Tamandua tetradactyla: one gene and its partner. The protein of the gene in region 1 binds, or shares a complex with, the protein of each later gene. Links are inferred from orthologs where the notes say so. Each region holds a gene or a part of one and is shown on either strand. Other genes may lie near its edges. The genes, in order: IL1A and S100A13.

What was found.
Region 2: the proteins of IL1A (region 1) and S100A13 are in contact, whole or in part, in an NMR structure (PDB 2L5X), measured with the Homo sapiens proteins. The link is inferred for Tamandua tetradactyla from reciprocal best matches to the Homo sapiens genes IL1A and S100A13. Residues at the interface, in NP_000566.3 of Homo sapiens: Asn148, Gln150, Tyr151, Thr194, Ala195, Gln196, Asp197, Leu203, Leu204, Lys205, Glu206, Met207, Gly216, Ser217, Glu218, Thr219, Asn220, His239; in NP_001019381.1 of Homo sapiens: Met1, Arg25, Gln26, Glu27, Gly28, Arg29, Lys30, Asp31, Ser34, Asp68, Ser69, Glu70, Lys72, Phe73.

Annotation. Positions count from the first base shown.
Region 1 is NC_135343.1:337,131-346,124, forward strand, and holds the start of IL1A (interleukin-1 alpha), read left to right. Parts: upstream 1-5,244; 5' UTR 5,245-5,262; intron 5,263-5,730; 5' UTR 5,731-5,769; coding exon 5,770-5,816; intron 5,817-6,661; coding exon 6,662-6,710; intron 6,711-7,357; coding exon 7,358-7,580; intron 7,581-8,994. UniProt on the Homo sapiens protein: Cytokine constitutively present intracellularly in nearly all resting non-hematopoietic cells that plays an important role in inflammation and bridges the innate and adaptive immune systems.
Region 2 is NC_135330.1:6,428,077-6,436,272, reverse strand, and holds the start of S100A13 (protein S100-A13), read left to right. Parts: upstream 1-4,678; 5' UTR 4,679-4,826; intron 4,827-5,751; 5' UTR 5,752-5,791; coding exon 5,792-5,944; intron 5,945-8,196. Other genes in the region: S100A1 (protein S100-A1), read right to left, coding at 280-423, 1,751-1,891. UniProt on the Homo sapiens protein: Plays a role in the export of proteins that lack a signal peptide and are secreted by an alternative pathway. Binds two calcium ions per subunit. Binds one copper ion. Binding of one copper ion does not interfere with calcium binding.

The DNA of each region.
Region 1 (8,994 bases):
GGTGGAGGGAGGCGCTGGGTGACCACGGGAGGAACAGCTGAGCAAGGGGCAGAGGTGGAGGGAGGCCGTGCCAGGGATGGGACGGAGCCCCACAGGCACGCTCACAGGCAGCGGCTCAGGTAGACCTGACCAAACCCTGCGAAGTAAAATCGATGGCCTCAGTCTCACAGACGAGGCACCCGGGCTCCGAAAGTTCAGTGACTCGCCCAATGAAGCGTCACCGCCCTGCCCCTTGCACACAATGCCCTCGGCCTGGGATCTGTCCTCCATGGCCCCCACCCAGCTCTCTGAGGCTGGCGGCACTCTCCCGGAGTCCTTCCCGAAAGCCGGGGTCAGCCAGCCACATCCCCCCACGCCTTGGGGTCGCCCTCCCGTGCCCCCATGAGCCAGAAGCTGGTCCCTTCCCACCCCCTCCCTGTGGCTTCCGAGCGGGGCAGCTCCAGGCACGTTGGCGTGAGCTGTGAACCCCGGAGCGCGCTGTCCCCACTGCCCCATCCTATCCCGGCCAGGCTCTGTCCTCCCCAGGCCCCAAAGGGCCCTCCCGGACCAGAGGGCAGAGCACTAAGACCACACAGGAAGAGTGCAGGAGAGGGAAAGCTAGGCTCCTACTTCTTCCCCTTGGATGTTCATTTTCTTATCAAAACGCTTCAATGCTTGCCCAAACTTTCAGACTCAGAAAAAACCTAAACTTCCTTTTCTTGCATACTAACAAGGCCCAGCCGTCTTCGTGCGTACCAACCTTTCTAGAAAGCGAGGCTGAGTCATAATCACTCAGAAGATGGGGTAAAAAACGGTCATTCCCTTCTGATTTATCAACAACTGTTACATATTTCTGTACTTGGAAAGGAATTTATTTCTATTTATACTCAATGACAAATCAAATTTGCCACTGAAGTAATGAAGAAGAACAGAAAGAGTTAACCACACATCCGCCAGCGACAGCTCTGTGTACAACAGGGAGATTCCCCAAAGCAGGCACAAGGAGGGAGCCCAGATGTGCCACGGGCAGCCTGGAGGCCACGGGCAGGCTGGAGGCCACGGGCAGCCTGGAGGCCACGGGCAGCCTGGAGACCGCGGGCAGCCTGGAGGCCACGGGCAGCCTGGAGGCCACGGGCAGCCTGGAGACCGCGGGCAGCCTGGAGGCCACGGGCAGGCTGGAGACCGCGGGCAGCCTGGAGGCCACGGGCAGCCTGGAGGCCACGGTCAGTCTGGAGGCCACGGGCAGGCTGGAGACCGCGGGCAGCCTGGAGACCGCAGGCAGCCTGGAGGCCACGGACAGGCTTGGAGGCCACGGTCAGTCTGGAGACCGCGGGCAGCCTGGAGGCCATGGGCAGGCTGGAGGCCACGGGCAGCCTGGAGACCGCGGGCAGCCTGGAGGCCACGGGCAGCCTGGAGACCGCAGGCAGCCTGGAGGCCACGGGCAGCCTGGAGGCCACGGGCAGCCTGGAGACCGAGGGCAGCCTGGAGGCCACGGGCAGGCTGGAGACCGCAGGCAGCCTGGAGGCCACGGGCAGCCTGGAGGCCACAGTCAGTCTGGAGACCGCGAGCAGCCTGGAGGCCACGGGCAGGCTGGAGGCCACGGGCAGGCTGGAGACCGCAGGCAGCCTGGAGGCCACGGGCAGCCTGGAGACCGCAGGCAGCCTGGAGGCCACAGGCAGGCTGGAGGCCACGGGCAGCCTGGAGGCCGCGGGCAGCCTGGAGGCCGCGGGCAGCCTGGAGACCGCGGGCAGTCTGGAGGCCACGGGCAGCCTGGAGGCCACGGGCAGCCTGGAGACCGCAGGCAGCCTGGAGGCCACGGGCAGCCTGGAGGCCACGGGCATTCTGGAGCCCACAGAGCCAGGCCTGGAGGCTGCAGGCAGCCTGGAGGCCGCGGGCAGCCGGCCACCGCCGTGGCCACACTCCTCCCGTCACAGCTCCCCTCCAGGCCTCGTGCTGCAACCACCCCTGCTGGGGGAGGACAGTGCGAACCCCCCGTGTGAGGCTCAGCCCCTGCACGGCCTCCAGCCTCATGCCAGGCTTCCCACGGACACATAACAAGTGCTTTGAAGCGCATCGGGTCCTGTACACACACCCGGGTGCAGCGTTGTGGTGACATTTCAACCTGAAGTAGTGACTCCCTCGCACCGACGGTGTGGCAGCCGTTTTATTCTCCCAGATCATACTGGAGTCAAGATTTGGCCGAGATGAAAGCAGCTGATTAGGCTGTGATCTGTCTTACCGGAAAGCTCACCATCCAGGGGGTGAAGGCTCTGCCAAGGGAAAGCTACCATCGCCAGCTCCATCCAGGGACGCGTGTGGGGAGGGACATGGGGGCATACCCAGATCCCCAGCCCGGACTCTTCCAGGGGAAGGGAAGGCGTCGGGCGGCCATGCGGAGCCCCAGAGGAGGACGGACGCCTCGGTGCACAGGCGGAGACCTTGGGGCCTCTTGGCTCCTCTTGCCTGACTGCCAGTGAGGAGGGGGCTCATGGAGTGGGGCGCAGGGCCTCTACCGTCCACCTGCTCCCTGGATTTCGGGAAAGCCAAAACCTAAAGGCCCAGAGAAATAAATCTATATATATGCCCCGAAAAGAAGCACATCATCCTCTTTACATATTTCGTATCTCCTCAACAGCACCTGAAGACTTGTTTTAGAATCCAAAAAGTAAGACAGGTTCTTCTCTGAACTTGAGAAACAAGTTCAGCTCATGGATAACTGTGACTCCAAAGAGGGAAATGACTCAAAAGGAGAGGAATTGCTAAAGCCCGTTTCTGGTGAAGCAACCTACAGGAGTCAGCAGGAAGGCAGCGTGGCCCATGCTGCCCGCTGTGCCCTCTGCCCGGCAGTGCTCCCGGGGCGCTCTGACCCAGACACGCACCACCCGGCGGGCCCATGGGTGGGGATCAGAGCGCGCCACCCCCACCCCACCCTGCAGGCGGTCTGGGGTCCTGCGTCCTCCCACCAGCACCGCCCAGACAGCTGCACAGAAACTGGACCCCGCAACCCCGGACCCCGCACCACGCAGCCCTGGCCCCAAGCTGCCCCACCCGCCCTCCCCCCCTTACTGGCCTGGACGCCCCTCCCCTGGCCTGGAAGCCCCTCCCCTACCTGGAAGCCCCTCCCCCTAGCCTGGACACCCCGCCCCCCCAGGGCCGCGCCCCTCCCCCCACTGGCCCATCTCCCTGCACAGGTGTCCACAGGGTCATGGGCCAGGTGGGGGGCGGCCGCCCGCTCCCTGGGGCTTCGGTCCTGTTCATCCACAGGCAGGAGCACAGAGAGGCTGTGACGAGCAGGTGCCTCTAGCCGTAGGGTATTCTGAGTGAGAAATAGGAGGCAGTGGGTGTGAATTTCAGTTCCTGGCGCATATAAATTGTCCACGTGACCAAGGCAACACCTTCCACTCCACGTCTTTTATATAAGTGAGAGTTTGGCGCGGATGTCTCGCAGGGGCACGCTTCTCCCACGTAGAATCGCAGGCCTTCAGTGGGGCACCGAGGAAAGCAGAAGAACTGAAAAGAAATGTAAAAAGCAAAGGAAGGGCAGAGGCCACAGCGAGGGACAGAAGGGCTGCGGTGTCCGAGCCCGCCGGGGCGACGCGCCGACCTCACAGCTGTGGGCAGATTATTGGTCCCTCCAGCATCCCATGTCCTCATCTGTAGAATGTGAGAGCGAGTCCTGCTCCCACATGGGTGAGGACCCCAGGGACAGGGCGCTGCAGCACCCGGACACGGCTGCCCACATGGGACCTGCTCGGGCCGCAAGGCTGGCTCCCAGCCGCCCTTCTGGGACTTCGGCCCCGAAAGCGACAGTAGGGCCCGCCCCTCTCAGCACCTGGCTCACCAGTCCCTCTTCCAAAACAGTTTCCACAGCCATGTGCGGGAGGCAGTGCCAGGGCCCTGCGGCTGCTTTCTCCCTGCTGAGCTTGCGGGTGGTGCGGCCGCAGGCTGTCCTCAGGGTATAGACTGCACTGGCCACGGGGGCTACAGGCGGCACTGACGATTTGCGTTTAGCTGTGTCCCCATGGCCACCCTCGCACCCTGGGCACCTCGCACAGGTCCCCCAGCCCCGGCCTTACATTTCCCAAAGCAGGGGCTGGACAGGACCACACCCTAGGGGTGCTCGGCCAGCTGCGCCCGCCCTCCCGAGGCCCAGCTGGTCCTCCGTATGCGGGTGGCTCCAAGATCTTGTTCATGACGATCATGACACGTCGACGGCCAGCAGGTGCGGACGCCGGGGCTGGTAGGTCAGGCCGTACGGCCTCCCCACAGTCCCACCCAGCGGCGGCTGGAAGAGACGGCGCCGCCCGCATGCACCACTTTGCACCCATTCTTGGCTGCGTCGCTTTCATGCCATGCGGCTTCTTCTCCTCTTCGCTCTCCTCCTCTTCCCTCTGCTTCCTTTATTTCAAGTTGATGTGGCTCAGACTCCCCTGGGGAACTGGACACGCTCATCTGCTGGGCAGCCTGGTGGTCTCAGGCCACGGGGACAGCCCTCCACCAGGACAGCTCTCCCCAGCCCCTCGGGGTCCACAGCCCTGGAGGCTGCCCCAGCGGCCACACCGGCCTCAGGCGCAGTCACGGCCTGGGGGTCCCGGGGACGCTGCGGCCACTATGCTGCCCCCCGCAGTCCTGGGCACCCTCACCAGCCCTGGGCTCGCACACACACGCATATGCACACTCACCAAATGCATGTGCACACACATATGCACACGTGCACGAACACACATGCACACACAAACGCATGTGCACGCACACACAAACACATGTCCACACACATGCACACGCACACAAACGCATGCGCACATATGCACACATGCATGAACACATATGCACACATGCACAGACAAACGCATGCGTATACGTGCATGCACACAAACTCCAAACACAGACCAAGCCACAAAACACTCCCCCAACTCTAGCCACCCGTGATCCTGATCTCGGGATTCCACCCTTCCTCCCCACCATAGTTTTTACAAACTTGTCATTTCCTGCTCTTCTCCCTTTTTCCACAACTACAGGTCTGTGATTATAAACAGCAAAGCAATAAATAAACAAACCAAGTCAGTTCAGTCCTGGAATCTCTGAAAACAATTTGGCAAAATTATCTAGCAAGTCATTATTTTGTCCAGTATCAAGTTGAGCAAATTCCAGAGCTGCAGAAACAGAATTCTTTCCTGTAAATTCCCCATGACGTCCTCGCGGCCACGCCTACTCAGGACAGTACAATAGGCAGGGCCCTGGCTGCCGGCCACAGAGGCAGTCATTTCAGCACAGCCAACACAGGTACCGTCGTCCCTCCGGCACGGGGGCTGCTGGACGCCTTTTCCCCCTTGCTGCTTTCCTTCCAACTTCCTTCTCTGACGTCTCCCTGGCCCTCCCTTCCCCTGGCTGGGTGAGCTGGGGCCAGTCAGGTCTCAGAGGAACCTGTGTCGTCCTGAGACGGGGAGCCGGCTCCCTCAGGGGCGCTGGCGGGCACCGTGCCTGCCCTCTGGAGGGCACCGGAAATTCCCGGCCCTGCCGCTGCCTGGCATCTCTCCAGGGCAGGCGCTGGCGCTGGTGGTCTTTGACCTATCAGACCACTGTGTGCCATGCCAGACCTGAGGCAGAGTCTAGAAGAGGGTTACAGTTCCATGGGGGCGGCAGATGGTATAAAGTCAGAGTGGAGGAGTGGACGGGAGGAAGGGGGAGACGCTGAGGGTGGCCTCTGGGGCCCGCTCCCCCAGAAGCAAGAGGGGGTCGTTTGCTCTGCAGGCCCCCTGCTCAGAGACCGTTCCTGCCAGCAACACCGAGATGGCCCGAGTCCCTGACCTGTTTGAAGACCTGAAGAGCTGCTACCGGTAACAGATCCTGCCTCAGGTTCCACGGGGGCTGCTGGGGGCTTGCTGGCCCCAGCTGGTGGGGGGGGCGCAGGGGGCCAGGCCTGGGGAGGCCGAAAGAGTTTTCTGCTATCTGTGAGGTCAGGGGGCTTCGGCAGAGACCAGCATGCGAAACCAGTTTAGAAAACCAGTGTCTGAGGTCTGTCCCACCCCATGCATGTCACATCCACTCGCACACAGGCCCGGTCGAGGCCACGTGACACGGGGACACGGGCGTTCGTGGACTGATGGAGAGAGAAACCGTTTCAGGAAAGCTTTCTGATCCCACTCCAAATGGGAACTGGCTCACAGCCCAGCCTCGACAGACAGGACAGATGTTCAATGCATAAACTCTTAAACCAACACAGCACGACCCTAAGTGTGATATATAGTAATGCAGGCTGGACTTCCAGATGGTGCTTGGAGGCTTCTGCCAAGTATAAACGATTAAATCTGTCTTAGTGAATACATGAAAACAATGTGTGACACGTGGTCTGCTTGGTTAAAACAAAAACAGAGGTGCTTCGAAAGTCCCCTTTTGAAGTGCTTACCATGTTACTCTGAAATTCAGTCACAAGGCTTTAGCACGTGAGCAGAGCCGTGCTTCCACAGATAAAGCTCAGCTAGAGTCCACGCCCGGTCCTGCTCATCCCAGGTGGGCGAGCCCCACCTCGCTGGCGGTGACTGTGCACAGAGGCCCTTAATTTTCAAACATGATGGCAAGTGCCAAGGGTGTGATGGCAGAGCTGGCGCAGTCGTGAGGGCACGTTGCCTGGCGACCACAGAGAGGAAACAAACAGCTACATCCCCGCGTCCTGTTTTGACAGTGAGGATGGCGGCTGTGGGCCCGGCAGCGGCGGCGGCGCCCTGGACCAGGTAAGACGGCGGCCGAGGTGTCGGGACGGCGTGCCCAGGCGGGAGCAGCGATGGCGAGTCCGGGCCGGCCTCCCAGGGTGTCTGAGACCCCTAACCAGCTTGCAGAACTGGACAGGACGGTCCCGAAACCCCAAGGCCAGAGTCCCCCGGCCCGGCCTCACAGGCCCCCCGGCCACACGGCCCGAGAAGGACAGGTGTCCTCACTGGCACCCGCCCAGGTCGAGAGGCAGCCCGTCCCACAGCGAAGGAAGCGAGACCCCGGGCAGAGGGACGTGCAGTCACTGCCAGGCTATGCCTGTCTTCAGGGCGGGCTTCAAAGCTGCTTCCACAGGGGAGCCCTAAACTCCTCAGAGCTTAGCCTCAGGGAGGAGCTAGCACGAGGCTATGCTCAGGCTGGTGCTCGCCCAGGGTGTAGCTCCTCATTTTCGGCTTAGCCCATGAAAGGCAAAGTCTTCCTAGGAGAGCACATCCTTTCAAGGAAATCCTGGAGGAGGGAAAGAAGGAGGGAGGGAGGAGGAGGGGAGGAGGGAGGGCAGGGGGGAGGGCGGTGGGGGAGAGGGGTCAGGGGGAGGGAAGCACAGGAGAGGGCGACTGAAGGGTGCCCTCTGCTCCCACGGCAGCCTTGCAGCTTCCTGTCCCGTCCCCAGAGATCCTTCTATGAAGCGAGCTATGGCGCGCGTCCTGAGGGCCACGTGGATAAATGCTGGCCTCTGAGTGCCCCTGCAGCCCCTGCGAGACCCGAGCTGGCCTTGGAGGAGAGTGTGGTGGTGGTGACAGCCCGAGGAAAGGTCCTGAAGAAGAGGCGAAGGAGCCTGAGTGTGGAGGGCAGGGTCGATGGCCTGGAGGCCCCCACCACAGAGCTGGAGGCAGGTGAGGGAGCCCCGTCCCCACTCGGCCACTCTCAAGCGAACGGGCACTGCGGCGGAGGGGGGAGAAAACCTGGAATCAGAGAAGCAGGAGGGCAGCGGGCACTGGACACACCCGCAGGAAGGGAAATCAATCTTAATCCCTCTGCGCGGGGCGGGCTGGAATGCTTGTCCCCAGGCCTGTTACCTGGAGGTTTGTAAAGGACCTTCAGCCCTCAGGGAGAAGGCAGTGCGTACTGTTGCCTGGCGACCACCTCCAAGCCAAGCTCCTCTACTTCCCAGCTGTCCTCCTTGGGCAGTCCCCCAGTCCTCCTGAGCCTCAGTTTCCTCTGCTCGGAAGTGGAGAACTCAGGGTCCGGCCTCACCGGAGAGCTGTGCCGGTCCCAAGCGTCAGGACTCCCCAGTTCCGGCCAGAATATCACCCGGTATACAGTAGGCATACAATCAGTGTTGCTGCTGCTGCTCTCATTAGGGGGAGCCTGCGTCCCTAGCCATCTGTCCAGCGCCCGGCAGGACCTCTGACTCCCTGAAGCCCGAGAGTTGAAGGTCACATGGAGGAAACGAAGGGCTGTCCCGAGCCGAGCAGCGGGGTTGCACATCCCTCCCGCGCCACCTGATCGAAAGCCATGTGTGTTCTCGTCGCCTTCACCCTACAAGCTTCCCATGAGTCCTGTTTCTAACATTACATCTGAATAATAACACACATTCCTTCTAAAAGTTGGAAGATGCAAGGAGAAGTAGAAATCACTCTCCCTCCAGTGCTGTGGCCATTCCTTAGGGCCGTGTCCGAGGGCCAGGGCAGGACCGCGCTGTCTGCTGGTCGGGAGCCCGTCCTGGAGGCGTGGCAGGGAGCATCGGGCACGAGGTTCTATCTGCACCGTCGCCTCGGGGGGCACTGGGGGGGGAGGCCCGGGCCAGCCTCGGTGACATGCGCGGCCTGCAGTGGTCTTGGCTTCCTCCGGGCACGCTCACGTGCAAGCCAGGCAGGCGGTGGCACCCGGGCACTCAGAAACGACCCAACAACCAAAACCGAGAGCACTCCACTAACCATCTCGGGGCACAACAGTGCCTGAGAAATTCAAGTTTTAAAAGAAGCAAATAAGTAATCTTAAAGCCCCAGCTGCTGCTGATTGGATGCCCTCACTCCCCTTCCAGTTTTCATGCCTCAGTTGGAATAGCCCTAATGCCCTTGCAGCTGCTCTCTCTGATTGCACGAGGGCGTGAGCAGGTGTGTGAGTGCATGTGCAAGCGTGAGCAGGTGTGTGCAGGTGTGGGGTGTGTGTGGGCAACAGTGACTGTGAGTGGGCCTGTAGGGGCGTATGTGAGTGCATGTGCAGGTGTGAGCAGCCGTGTGAGTGTGGCGGGGCGTGAGTGGGCATGAGCGTGGCTCGCAGTGGGCCTGACCTCACCGTCTTTGT
Region 2 (8,196 bases), on another chromosome or scaffold:
GTAAGACACCTCCCGGCGGCGTAAGGCCTCTCCCCAAATTAGGCAAATTGGAAGTAAGCAGCTCTCCAACATTTGGGCTACAGAAGAGGCAGACAGTGGGTGGCTGGCCAAAGAAGAGCCTTTAATGTAAGTGCACTTGCAGGCCTGGCCCACTACTCTTGTGCCCTTGATGGGGATGGGAGGAGCGTGGGGAGGGGAAAGGGGGTGGGAGGTAAGCCGGATCAAAGGGCAGATCTGCCAGGGTGGAGGGGAAGGGCGCTGCCCACTGGGGGTGTCTGCTCAACTGTTCTCCCAGAAGAAGTTGTTACAAGCCACGGTGAGGGCGGCCACCAGCACCACGTACTCCTGGAAGTCCACTTCTCCGTCTCCGTTCTCATCCAGTTCCTTCATCACCTTGTCCACCGCGTCCGCATCCTTCTGGGCCTGGGTGGGGGAGAAGGGGAGAGGGGGAGAGGCGGTGGCACGGCGAGTCCAGCGTGCCTGACGCTGAGTTAGGAGCAAGGAGGGTCGTTGATTGAGAAGGAGGCAGAACTACATCGAATGGGACTCCTGTGCTCCCCTCCTCAAAACCCCAATACCCATGGGCTCCTGTTGCCCACAGGATGAGCTCCTCCACAGCGCGGAGTAACGATGGTCACAGCTGTGACCATCCTCGGAGTGCCTTCAATGTGCCAAGCTCCACAGGCATTGTCTAATTCCTCACAAAAATAGATTTTTTTATGAGAGGTAGATTTCATTATTCCCAGTTTAGAGAAGAAACGAATTGACAGTCAGTGGTTAAGCAAGCTGCCAAAGTCACACAGCTTGAAAGTGATAGGGTCAGAATGCAAATCTGGGTCTATAAATAAATAAAAATAAAGTGTCTGTGTACTTCCTACTGTATCCTGAAGGTTCTCTTTTACCGTAGGGCCCCCGTTTGCTTTTGTGGCCTAATTTTGTGCATCCTTCACTCCAGTCAAATTAAACTTAGCATGCTCCACCTTCTTTTCTTCTCTCATGTTTTTATTCATGCTGATACTGCCTCCTAAAATGTCTTCATTTACCCCAATAACCTGCCAGTGGAAATCCATGGCTCAAGTGGCATGTCCTTGGAAAAGCCATCCCACTGTAATCAGGTTAATGTTCTCCCATCCCCTTGCAGGTACCTCTAAGAGCTCTTTGTACTTCCGGCCTTGTTATTGATGAATCTATACACAGCCTTCACTTAACAGGTGATCAAGAAACCAGGGCATTTTTGTTGTTTTTAAAAAATATTTTCGGTGATGAATCTTAGCACACATACATTCCACACATGTACAATCAGTGGCTCACAATATCATCACATAGCTGGGTATCCATCACCATGATCGATTTTTAGAACATTTGCATCTCTCCAGAAAATGGAATAAAAAGAGAAAAGAAAAACTCATACATACCATACTCCTTACTCTTCCCTCTCATTGACCACTAGTATTTCCAACTGCCTGATTTATTTTAACCTTTGTCCCCCCCAATTATTTGTTTATTTTGTATCCGTATTTTTTACTCCTCTATCCATATGCTAGATAAAAGGCGCATCAGATGCAAGTAAACCAGGGCATTTTGAGTTGCACCAGGAAGAGTAGGGGGGCCTGGAAAAAATTCAGGAGAGGTCTAGGAGAGCAGGGAGAAGGCTGGGCTGAGTGGGGGTGGGGTGGGGCGGGACTGGAGATGACAGGAGCGTGTCCACCCCATTCTGCCCACTTGCCCATCCCACCCTCTGCCCACTCACGTCCAGGAAGCCGGAGAGCTCGGTCTGCAGCAGCTCTTTCAGCTCCTTCTTGCTCAGCTTGTACTTGTCCCCCTCCTTGCCGGAATGGGTGTGGAACACGTTGATGAGGGTCTCCATGGCCGTCTCCAGCTCAGAGCCCATTGCGGCAGCTCACCTGTTCACCCCCACACACAAGCACACACGCCATGGAAGTGAGTGGGGGACCAGACCCAGGGCATCCGGGGTTGGGGTGGCGGGGAGGAATCTTGGTCTCAAGCCTGGCTCTACCCCACAGTCCGAACCCTCACGAGATGGGAGCCCCACAGCAATTCACCCTTCACTGAGATATTATAATAGGGAAAACTCAGGCAGAACTAAATCCAGTCCTGCTCTTTGGGTCCGTTAATCCATATTCCAGCCAGACAGGGTTTGGGGCATTGGAGAGAGAGTGACTGGGCTGGCTCTAGAGGCCTGAGGAGGGTGGGGCAGGCAGAAGTGGTCACAGGGCCTGGCCAGGCTGCCTCTGAATCTATTTTTACCCTGCGCCTCATTTGCCCGCATAGCCGGGCTCTGTGTGCTATTGGGGACAGTGAGCTGGGGTCCTTTCCATGGTCTTGACTCTGTGGCCCACCATTAGCAAGGAGTCAGTGTGCTATTCTTGGTGAGCCTGAATGGAGGGGAGACAGTCGGAGTGAGTGGCCTAAGACTCCTTGGGGGGTTTTCACAGCCATTAAGCTATCTGTCAGCAGCTTGGGGGCTCCTTTTGGTCCCTCAACTTTGTTCTTTCCAGAACACGTCATTTTGGCTTCCCTGAGGTAGGCCTCTCATTGCCTCTGGTTCAGCTCCTCTTGCATCTCTGCAGAATCAGCCTTTCCCTTGGAGGAATGGTGGGAACGGACAGGAATGTCTGAGGCTTATCCCTGGAGCCAGGGCTCCCAGGGAGGGGGAGGGGAGACCTGTAGGGCCTTGTCTCCCCAGGCCTAGCCTGGTTGATGTGGGGACAGTGAGAGAAGGGGGAATGGGGCCGGTGTGTATTGGGGAAGATAAAGACTCAATTCCTGAGGTCCTTTGAGGGGCTGGGAGGGAGAAGAAGAATGGAGAGGACTGCTGAGGCTGGAGAGGGGAGACCGTCAAGCCAGTGGGTCTCTTTCCTTTGTCTCTGGGGCTGTCAGCCCCTCCCCAGTCTCAGGGGGCAGCTCAGATGTCTCAGATCAGATGTCCCCATCCTTCCCGGGGTGGGGGGCTGAACAATGGGCCCTGATCGTATGACATCCCAACTCTTCAATGGGGCCCTTGTGAGTGTCACCTGAACTCCGGACATGAGAAGCATTTGTCACAGAGACAGAGGAGAGATGGAATCCAAGCTGGGGCTGATGGAGAGGATAAGGGGGCGTGTGAGGGAAGGTGCTGGTGGCTCGGTTTCCAGCCTCATCCAGGAGGGGCACCTGGAGCCCTCGAGAAGGCTGGGGTTTTGTGCTGGGGAGTTCTGAAAGGAGCTCTTCGGCAGTGTGGGGGTGGGGGTGGGTATGGGCAAACAAAGAGAACAGAGAAAGAGGAGTCTGGATTTCTAGGCCAAGAGAGGGGAGGAGGAGAAAGAGGAGGCCATGTGGGGATGGAATTGGAAGTGGGTACAATATCCTTGTACCCCTTCTTCCTGGTATCACATGACCACACCCTGCCACCTCCAGACTTCCCTGGGACCTGAGCTCTTGGCAGGGTGGGCAGAGGTGGCAGAGACTGAGGCTGGGGCCAGAAGCAGTGGGTCTATCTGTTCTCTTGTTCTAACCCAGTGGAAGCACAGGGAGGGCTGGGTGCCCACCTCGGTTCCTGGGAGATTGAGGGAGAGCTGGCAGGGGACTCGAGGGCTCCTTGGTGGGGGCCTGTGGCCTGGGGCTCAGGGGCAGGCACCTCATTGGTTTCCTTGCCTGCCATGCTCCCACATCTCTCTTGACCTTTACCTGCCTCTCCTTACCACCTTCCAAAACCTATCTCCCCCGAACCCCACCTTGTTGCCATCCTGATGAACTCCTCCTGGACCCTCAGTCTGCCACAATGTCCTTGTCCCCAGAGCCTTGGAGCCCCTCTGAAGCCCCCTATCCCCCAGTTGGCCTGGGCCGGGACCTGGCTCGGTGGGGCAGGGTACTCACGGTCAGCTCCGGCTGCAGATGACAGCAGGTTCTGGACAGCCAGGCCAGGCTGCTAATGTGGCTTCAGAGCTGTGTGGGGAGACCTGTCTTCAGTCGTCCTTACCCCGCTGCCCCCCCCGCGGCTCCACCCCCTCACGGACACCCAGTAGGGCAAGGGGCCAGGAGTGGACAGAGGCGCCCTCTGTGTTCCAGGCTGGAACAGGCCACCCTGTGTTCTCTTCCCCAGCCATGTTCTGCTCCCCTTCTCCCTCGCTGGGCACCAGCATGCGGGCACACAGGAGGAGGGGAGGTGGGGAAGGCAGGTCTGGGGGGGACCCTGGGGCGCCTCACCCGCGCTGGGCAGTGGAGCCCCTGCCACGGCTGAGCCCTGCTGTTCAGCGAGGACCACTCTGAGGGCCTCGGAGCCCAGGTCTCCTCCACGCGGACCCCTGAGGACCCTCAGTGAGTAAGTTAGTTTTAGGGCATCTCCCTGGGGTTCAGGCTGTGATCCCTCTGAGAGATTCAATGCGGGGACTCTTCCTTGGGGATGTCAGTCTGGACCTCTTTCTTTGTGGGGTTTCATTCTGAGGGGGCATTTGTGGTGTTTCTCTGATGGGGCGTCTCTGGGCTCCCGATTGGAGGGCAGGGGTGGGTGGGGGTGGGCGGGGGGTGATTAGCGCGCTCCCAGGTGTTGGGACGGTCGGGTCCCCGCTGGGCGGGGTCTGTCCAGGCAGCTCGGGGAGCCCCAAGTGGGGGCGGGGCGGGCGGGGCGGGGGGGGGCGCGTCCCCGACGGGGGGGGGCTCGGGGGCGGGGCCTCCGGGCCGGGGGCGGGGCGGGGCGGCACCCGCCAGAAAACCCGCGGAGGAAACTCGCCCCGCGGGGCTTGCGAGCCGCTGGCTCCTCCCTCCCCAGACGCCTATAAACCTCAGCCCCGAGGCTCCTGCTCGTTGCACCCCATCTCCTAGCCCTGGTGAGTCGCATCCCCCTTCCTCTCCGGAGAACCTGGGCACCCTCTTTCCTCCCCGGGGCTCCAGCTCCCTCCCCCGGAGGCATCTCCGACGGGGATCCCGGAAGTGGCTTGGAGAGAGCAAGCAGCAGTCTGTGCAGGGATGGGTGGCGGGTGTGGACGGATGGGCGCATGAGGGGTGACCGGGCACGTGCCCTTGCTTCAGTCCGAGCCCCCTCCCCGGGGCTGTGGGTGTCCACACCCTCCCCTCCCAGGCCCTCTGTGGGCGCGAGGGCCAGCACAGTCCTGCCCAGGCCCCCTGCAGCTGGAGACGGGTGCGGGGGGGGGGGGGGGGGCCGCGGGGGCCTGGGCTCAGCCCTCTGTGCAGCCGCCCCAGCACCTGTGCCTGAGGGGAGGCGGGCGGGGACTAGGGAGGAGACAGCCTGAGCCGCCCTGGCTGCAGCTGGGCACCGGCCAGACCCTGGGCTCCTCTTCTGGGAAGAGTGGTCAGGGTGCGGGGGCGGAGCGCTGCGGGTGCACGCCCGGGTCTGAACACAAACACGTTTCGGAGACAAACAACCTTATGACCCTCTGCGGCTGGCCGGGTGAGAGACTTCAGGAAGCGGCTCTTGGACAACCCCCCGAGGGACTGCTCCACAAAGGGGTGCCCAGATGAGAGCTGCCTCTACCGAGGGGCCTCCAGACTGACAACAGACATAAACACTTAAAAAAGGATCCCCAGACTGTGCGGCCTCTCAAGGAAGGGGTTCTGGAAATGAAAACCCACCTCCCCACCTCCTACATTGAGATACTGCTACCGGGCCCCCTGGCCCCTTCTCCCTTCCCAGGCAGATTCCTGAGGTGGCCGTGCCAGGGCAGGGAGCGCTCTGGCCTGGTCCTAGGTCCCAGGCTCCCTGACTCTCCCTTCTGTGCCTTCCCCATCCCACAGGTCAGCCCCTGGAGGGCGGCAGCTCCAGCCCAGCGCCCCAATGGCGGCCGAACCGCTGACTGAGCTGGAGGCTGCCATCGAGACGGTTGTCACCACCTTCTTCACCTTTGCAGGGCGGGAGGGCCGGAAGGGCAGCCTCAGCGCCCAGGAGTTTAAGGAACTGGCCACTGAGCAGTTGCCTCACCTGCTCAAGGTAGGCCAGGGTCTGCAGGCCTGAGAGTACCTAAGGCCCTGCGCGTGTGAGCTGATTCGTGTGACGACAGGTGTGAATGGGGAGAAGGGTGTGGGTGGCTCCGTGTGTACATGGTGCTGGGTTTTCGTCTGGCGTGTGCCGTGTGCCTGTGTGTGTGGTTAGGTAAGCAAGGAATACTGTGTCCGTGCAAGCGGGAGTGTGCGGTGGACGCTGTGCTCCACCCCCCCATGCCTGTTGGGTTTCTGTGTTCTGCCTGCGCAGCTCTGCTGCTGCCCAGCACAGAGCGGGCTTCCAGAAGGTTCAGACACCAGGCAGAATTAGAAGAAAAGCCAAGAGAGGAAACATGGCCTGACCTCCTCGCTTCATGTGTTGGAAACTGAGGCGGTGGGAAAGAGCTTGTCAGAAATAAGGGCACTGCCAAATGCATGGAATGGAAGAATCTCAGTGCAGGAGGGGCCTGAAGCAGCAGCTGGGGTGCTTCCCACCCATCTAAGAATCCCCCCAACTGTGCACCTGACCCCTTTCCTAACAGGTGGAAGTCAGGATTTCAAATTCTTTCATTGTTATTCACAAGCTGTTAACAGGGTCTTGTAGAATTTGTCTGAAAATTCCCAGGCAGATAAAAGTGTGTGAATGTGGATTTAAACATAGACACACACACACACACACACACACACACACACACACGAATCTCTGAAACTCATAGTCTATCTGCTATAAAACCCCCTTTGTCCTCAGGCTTAGAGTTTTCCCTTTGTTTTCTTACTGGAAGCCTGGCTCTCTTCTGAAGGTGCCGCGTTTCCTCCAGCCCTGTCAAGCCTGAACTGTTTTATTCTTCCACCTCCTTCCAGGCCCGGAAATGCCCCAGGTGATCTTTCTGCTTTTCATTGCTGTTTGCATGTCTTAGTTCTTCCTTCTTCCTAAGTCTCCCGGCTCCTTGGAAGATCATATACTCCTGCCCCTCTCTCATTGCTCTCCCCTGTACCCCTTCAGCCCTTAGCTTATTGTTTATCACATCACTGCTTCTGGCGTGATTCTCAGTGGGTTCAGAACCCACTCAGACAATTCATCTGACACCCGAGCCCTTTGATTTCTTAAATCACTTCCAAAGATTCTGTCCTCCAGTATCTCAGCATCCTAATCCTATATTCATGCTTTAGGTCTTCTCTTTACTAAAAGAAAAATAAAGAAGTAAATCAAAACCCTATACCACGTCCAATACCTCAATTTCAAGCCTTCCTTTCTCTAACTTCCATCTCCTGTCTTTCCATTTTTATTCCTCTATCTGCGTCTTCCGTTTCAGCATTTCCTTGTCTCCACTGGGACTGCCAATCTCTTGACCCTTTTTTCATCATCATCCCTTGTGTCCTCATTTCCCTTCTTATTCAGCTTGAGTTCTAAGGTTCAGTATCATCACTCCTTCACCTCTTTTGCTTCTGTCTCTTTCTTTGTCCTACTTGCCCCGCAAATTCTCAATCCTGGTTAAATCCAACATTCCACCTAAATTAACTTGTTGGTTAACCTATTGGTTAAATCCAACATTCTGCGCCTGCACCCGTGTAGCTGAATGTGGCTGGAGAAAAGCACTCAGCCAGGCCCACTTGCCTCACTTTAAATCTATAACCACAAGCCCCAAGGGGACTCTTGACACCGCCCGCCCGGCAATTCTATTTCATTTCCCTGGTCCATTCATTCCCCAGCTCTTTCAGATCCTGATTTCACAACATTCCTCTCCTCAAATTCCGTTACCTGCCCCCCACCCCACCCTGTCTCTCTGTTGACTTTACTTCTTTACTGAGAAAATAGGAGCAACAAGGAAATTCTACGCCCTCCTGTGACCATGAATGCTGTCTCTGCTCCTCTGATCCCCTCTGCTGGGGCCCTGCATCCCAAACCTGTCGCTTATTTAAAGACTTCACTCTTGCAATTATAGACCTTTTTCTTGCATCATCAGAATTCTTAATCACCTTACAAATACGCTATCATCTCTCCATTAAAAAAAATAGAATAAATTTCCCCTTAATCCTATCATCCCCTCCAGCCATACTTTGTAGCTCTGCTTCCCCTTATAGCAAAATCTCCTCAAAAGCAATAAGAGTTATTTATACTTAATGTTTCCACTTTTTCCTCTCCCAATAATCCCCACCCGTAATTTCCTCTTGAAACCTTTCTCATCAGGTTTTCATTCTAACCATGCTACTGAGATTTCTCTTGTCGCTATCATGAATGTCTTCTTTATTACTTAATGATTG